2 linked regions of the Yarrowia lipolytica genome follow. Each later gene encodes a partner of the first gene's protein in a complex. Links are inferred from orthologs where the notes say so. Each region holds a gene or a part of one and is shown on either strand. Other genes may lie near its edges.

Region 1 (3,154 bases):
GAGGCAAATTCTAGCCAGGTACAGCTTCTGCAGTTTTCGTCGGACACCTGTCTCGGACGTGAGCAGCAGCATGGGAGCAAAGGCGTCCAATGCTGCGTCGCTCAGCTGGAACTCTGTGGCCTTGAGTCCAGACATGACGCCTGCTAGTGCGTAGATCTTGGAGGGGTCGAATCCTTCTCTCAGAATGTTGAGCAGCTTGAAGATGCAGATGGTTAGCGCTTCGATTCGAGACTTGTCAAAAGTGGTGTAGAGACCCTCGATAAAGGTCTCCAGAGTATCACCGTAGATGCAAACATTCTGATCGTCGTGTCTAGCAGTCTGGAAATGGGTAGCTTCGAGAAGATAAGGCAGCAGCTTGGATTCCAAGAAAGGGATGTCATGCTGAAAGACAACCAGAGAAGCAATTGGCAGAGCAAGAACAACCTTGGCCATGTACTTCCGCACGGTGTCCATGGTAGCATTGAGTCCCATGGCAATGAGAGCGATACCCCAACGAGGAGCAAGCTTGCATTCTGGCCCGAGGAACATGAGAATATCTCCCTCACAGGCCACCGTCTGGTTGTAGGAAGAGTCAATGGCGATGATCTCGGTGAGAGTAGCAAAACGTTTCCATTGCTCTAGCAGAACATCTCTGTCGGTTGTGGACCACTGCATGCTTTCCAGAGAAATGTCGCTGACAATATGCTGGACAGATCTTGAGATGATGTACAGGGCCAGCTTCTTGTGGTCGTAGGAGGTAGTCTTAAGAGGCCTGAGGAGACAGGCCCAGTAAAGGTCAGTCTTGAAGAGCGACTGGAAAGTCTCGGACTCGAGGGTAGCAGAGTCACATGCACTCAGCCACCACAGCCACAGCTTGTATCCCACGGTCTTGTGGTCGTCCAGGGACGAGTTGACGAGATCGGAGACAATGGTCCACAGATACGACGCCAGGGCGCTTGTAGCTACATTGGTCATTCTCAGTTTGAGAAGCACGGCAGCAGAATGGACCAGATCAGAGTCAGACAGACAGACAACATGGAGAAGCAGAGAGTCCAGCTGTGGGTTACCCAGGTCGTTGTTGAGCAGAAGAGATTGTAGGAACTTGAGAGATACTGCGGCGGTCTCAACGTCAACAGATCCGCCAGAATTCGACTCCTCCACAGCAGGCAGATCCGCATTTACCAGGTAGTTGAGATGAGGTTGGGACACATATGATCTCAGGTTGTTGTATGCATGGTCAAAGAGCAGCCTGGAGAGCAGAGGGATCTGACTCGAGACCAGGGTGATTGATTCCGAGCATGTACCAATCGACTCGGCGCACTTATCGGCCACATTGGCCACCTTTTCCTGGAACACCTGGGGTGTCAAGATCTCTTCCAGCAGCTGGAGGTCCTTGGCCTGGTTCACCAGGTCAGCCGACACGGAGGGACCGATCGCCCCGACCAGGCGGTCGGTGAGTTCATCCGCGTGTTTCCCCAGCGTGTGCTGATCCAGTTTTTTGAGCAGATCCAGCATCGGTTTTTGTGATATGACGTTTTGAATCAGCACTACCAAAAAATTTAGAAAGTTCCAAATTAAGCTTCCACCTTCATGCACAATTATTTTTCCACTATCGCCATCCACCCTCAGCTTAAAAAATTTAAGGCGTATACAACACCGCACACGCTACACATAATATCCACACGATGCCCTTCTCGCCAGCAGAAATCGACTATCTCCGCAAATCGCTCCAGGCCACGCCCACGATCCGACCAGACGCCCGAGAGCCCAACCAATTCCGGCCGGTGGATGCAGCGCAGAACTTTTTGCCAGCAACAAACGGATCAGCCCGAATAAGAACGTCGGACGGAGGCGAATGCATTGTGGGAGTCAAGGCCAAGGTGGTGAAGAACTCGTCCGTGGACGAACTGATTGCCGTGGAGGTGGATATTGACGATATCAGAGATGACAGTCCCTTGCCCAAGCTGCTGTCTGCCGTACTGCAGACGCTCATTCTTTCCAGCATTGACACAAACCGGCTTCGTCTGACCCGGTCCAATTATGCTTTCAAGCTACATATTGACGCGTTGGTGCTGTCGCACACCTCGTTTCCTCTGAACTTGGTGTCTCTGGCCATTTTCCTGGCTCTCAAATGCACACGTCTTCCTCTTCTGGTGTCCTCAGCCAATGACGAGGAGCACGAGGAGGTCCCTGTATTTTCCGACGACTGGGAGGAGTCTCTGGCGCTCTGTGGAGGCGAGATTCTGGCCAACAACTCCGGATCGGAGGCCATTTCGTGGACCCCGCCTCTGGTGTTTTCTCTGGCAGTGGTAGGGAACAACATTCTCGTCGATCCCACCCACGAAGAGGAGTCTGTGTCTGACCTTGGCCTCATCATGGGCTGGTGCAACGGCCAGGTCTGCGCTCCTCTACGAATCATCGATCTTGCATCTGCTGGAGGCAACGTGTCTCCCGAGCAGCTTAGCCAGCAACAGAGCATGCTGGAGCAGGGCATCGACCTGAACATGAAGGGTACTTCGCGAAAGCTCATCATGAAGGCCTACTCTCTGCTTACCAACACCGCTCCCGAGGTTGTTGCTGCGCTCGACGCCACTGCTGACGAGGAGGATGGTGCTTTGTTCTAAGCACCTGGAAAGAAAGGATGAGCCTTTACACATATACACAATGCTTGTGCACGACTGTATTAGATTTCATTGGTCGTGTCATACAAGTGACCACAGCTTTGCACATAATGTATTTTGATATTGAACAGTACGTACAGTACACTACAGAATGTACAAGTACCTGTAGCAGATGATATGTACTCATCACTTTACTGATTCGCCCTAGAGCAGCTAAGATGATTCAATGAACAATTCATACAACGGATTACATCAACTTCACTGTGGATACCGTTTGATAACGGCACCTGAGTCTATCCGCGGGTGTCTAGATGATGATGACAGTGGGAGTCACTATCAACGGATAAATTCCATCCAGTGAGTAATTAATGGAAATTCTTTGGCATCCCACATGTTCCAGAAAGCTTTCATTGTTGTATTATTTCCTTTGATATCTTTCAAGTGACTTCAAGCAGCTCCCTGTCGTATGATGTCGAGACTTGGCCATGTTAGCTCTTTAACAAACGAACCCCGATATCTAACTAATATATGTATGAGATAGTTGTATGGGTGAA
Region 2 (3,128 bases), about 510 kb from region 1:
CATTCGGCTCTAAATTCCAAGAGGATTCGAATGATATCAGAATATCGCCCACCTGTCGTACATTTTTTTGAGAAATGTTCCGTCGTTCTGGTTGGAAATGTGTAGAGCTCAAACCTGTCTTTTTATAACGGCTTTGATCGGATATCATGATACAATCAGAATAAACAACGCATGCTGAACCGACTGGTGCGATAGTCTGGTTCGAACCAGCTTCATAGGCAGAATCTGAACGTGTACGGTATCTCAAAAAGCCAGCCGAAATGGTGTCGTCTGAAATGTGTAATAAAAATATCTTATCTATGTATACAGAGGTTCTATCATTGGCTATTCTCTTCAGAGGCTCGCGTCTACTCGTATTAGAGAGATGAGTGTCATGACGGGCAGGTTCTCCTTGGTGAGGTTCTCAATGTCGAGTTCCCATGTCGAGTTCCCATGACAAATCCCTTTTGCGAGTCCTTTTGCGAGTTTTTTTGCGAGTCCTTTTGCGAGTCCTTTTGCGAGTCCTTTTACGTGCCGTTTGCGAATTCCCACAGTGACATTTGCCCCAATCGAAGACCATCCGATATCCCTCCGTCGTTCATCTCCCTCTCTCTACACCTCGCCCCTGATGCTATGTTACTTTCTCTCGAGTCTATGCTTACCATGCTTTCTAACGGCGGCGTCCATAATGTCCTGGATGGCGTGTGCCCCGCTCAGCGAGGTGGCGAGCACGGGTTCCAGCGACGCCATGGGCAGCTGTGTCTCGAGCGTCAGCATTGAGATCTTGTCAGATTTGCCAATGACGCCAATCGTCAGAAACGGCACGTCTTGCTCCTCCAGGGTGTTGAGATCAATCAGAGCGTTGTTAGAGTAGACGCCGGAAGAACAGGCAGACACATAGTCGGTGAGAGGCACGCCGGCATCGATCATGGCCAGGCAGGCGGCGTTGATGCAGGCAGGAAGAAGCCCGCCATCCTGGGCAATGACGGTGATATTGACGGCAATCTGGGTTCGGGGGTTGAGTTTGGTCAGCACCGCCTCCTCCAGCAGCTGGCGAATGAGAATGTTCATTTCCGCGAGCCGCTTGTCGTTGCGTTGCCGCTTGATCCGCGTCTCTGTGCTGAACGAGGCCACATTGACATTGACACTGATGACCGCCCGGTCAGTGGTGTTCTGGCGGTTGTCGGGCTCTCGAGGTCCGTCCACGGTGCAAACCACCTTGGTGTGGCCCCACTCGACGTACGACGAGCCGTCGGCCGAGGTCGGGTGGGTGTTGATTTTGCAGTCAAAGTTCCGGATCTCGTTCCACCGTCGTCCGTCGGTTCGCAGACCTTCGGGGGAGTATATTTCGTGGCGAGACTGGGTTAGTGGTGAAGAATATGAAGGCAAAAGTGCCCTGTGTGTCTGATCCAAAGTGCCTGTGTCTGATCCTAAGCGCCCGCGTCTGATCCAAAATGAATCACAATTTGCAGACGTGTCAGAGAGTTCCCAAACGAACATTGAGATGCTGAAAACCAGCAATTGTCAGATGTCAAAGTCGTCAGATTACAGTCGTTTGAAAAACGTCCGCAAATGCCTGGGAGGATCGATCTGATTTCTTTCACGACGCATAGATGGTCGGAGGCGTTAGGGCGGCTGCGCCTTTCCTCATATTCCCTCCCCCCTTCCCTCCTCACATCCTCCTCGAACTCACCATTATGTGCTGTTGGGTAGCAATTGGTGTATTGATTTTCGATATTTATTTCTTCATGCAGAAAGGCAAATCTAAGGCGTGCGCAGAACAACATGGCCAGGAATTGAACTGGCCCACTACAACAGAAAACCCCCCGTTCGAACCGCACCAATACGCATTTTGCTCGCTATTCCCACTTCAACCCCAACAGCACATGCCACCGTTCTGCACCCCTCACATCTGTCATGTACACCGTTGGCCGGTGCAGCAGCATGTCTTTCCTTATCGCACGTCCAGCGTCTGGTGGCGGAGCTATCTCTCTCTACGATACAGTAGGGTAGGGAGGACTGGCACTTCCTCCACCTGGCACGAGAACAATCCAACAGCATCATCTGGTCCCGTCCGGTCCAGAAGGCGCGTGTTTACACCCAAAAGTGGAGCTTTACACTGCCGGTTTGTGCCGTATACGGTTTTGCTGTGTGTCAACATGTTTCGTTGCCATTTTTTACACTGGTCCCAATTTTTTGATACATTTTTTCCATGTTGCAAACAAGGCTTGGGACCGGGTCCGCGGGAGGACTCGTGTGTGTTGACTGCCTATTCGGGAAACTCGGGACATTTGAGCCACAAACCCTGAAGCTGAAAGACACACGGTCTATCGGTCTATCGCAGCAGTCCTACTTGTAGGTCCAACATGGATCCCTACAGCTTGAAAAATAGGCTTAGTTTTTTTTAAATTTTCAAATTTTCTTTAGTTTTTTTTTTTTTTGGTCTACGCTTCGGGGAGCACTTTGGCTTCAGAAAAACTGGGTGGTTGAAGGATGCGGCTGGGGAGGACCAGTGACGGCGGTGGGGAGGAGTTGGGGCCGTCTAGGAGGAGATTTTTTGGTGGACACGCTGATTCCGGTTGGAAAAACACCACTTGGACGTGTGTCTCGACGGTGGTTCGGCCTGTCCATGGTCCTCTTGTGGCGGGTCTCTGACGGGCCATGTCTCACTACAATTTCCCACCACCGCCGGATAAGCTCCGTCGACTAAGGTTCAATAGAAATTTTATTGGTGAGTCTAGCAGAGTGCAGGGTCAAAAGACAGATCGCATTTGCTGCTGCAGTCTCTTCGCATTAGCAGCTCTTTCTCCTCCCCCACACCCTCATCCCACCACCCTATGAACCCGGAGACCCCACTGGCGTCCCCCTTCCACAGCTCCTCTTCATACTGAGATTCGGTTCGCCTCACCTGGGGCGTAACATCCAAAGACACCGGGTAGCATAGAGTCATAGTCATCGACCTATCTCTCATCACACCACACTCAAGGCAAGTCCAACACAGATCAACCGTTGTATAAAGCCGAGATCCACTTGCCAACTCGACACGTTCACAGATCGCCTGGCCCATCGCTCGACTCATTGCTCGGCTCTGTTTATCTTTCTTTTCACTCAACGAAGCACATCATCGGTCAGTCTGAGAACGACGCTCC

The links. Proteins that work in one complex are often made in the same cells at the same time.
Region 2: the proteins of YALI1_D13790g (region 1) and YALI1_D08715g are in contact, whole or in part, in a crystal structure (PDB 5OKZ), measured with the Saccharomyces cerevisiae proteins. The link is inferred for Yarrowia lipolytica from reciprocal best matches to the Saccharomyces cerevisiae genes RRP42 and SKI6. Residues at the interface, in NP_010172.1 of Saccharomyces cerevisiae: Phe40, Leu41, Pro42, Ser43, Arg49, Ile51, Gly55, Glu57, Ile59, Ser61, Lys63, Gln77, Asp79, Asp81, Ala83, Phe125, Asp127, Leu129, Ile131, Ser132; in NP_011711.3 of Saccharomyces cerevisiae: Thr31, His32, His34, Ala35, Lys48, Ile50, Leu52, Asn77, Thr79, Lys80, Phe81, Lys83, Arg86, Glu125, His127, Leu129, Glu130.

Annotation. Positions count from the first base shown.
Region 1 is NC_090773.1:1,377,397-1,380,550, forward strand, and holds YALI1_D13790g (uncharacterized protein), read left to right. Parts: upstream 1-1,664; coding exon 1,665-2,603; downstream 2,604-3,154. Other genes in the region: YALI1_D13788g (uncharacterized protein), read right to left, coding at 1-1,494. UniProt on the Saccharomyces cerevisiae protein: Non-catalytic component of the RNA exosome complex which has 3'->5' exoribonuclease activity and participates in a multitude of cellular RNA processing and degradation events.
Region 2 is NC_090773.1:870,104-873,231, forward strand, and holds YALI1_D08715g (uncharacterized protein), read right to left. Parts: upstream 1,480-3,128; coding exon 616-1,479; downstream 1-615. UniProt on the Saccharomyces cerevisiae protein: Non-catalytic component of the RNA exosome complex which has 3'->5' exoribonuclease activity and participates in a multitude of cellular RNA processing and degradation events.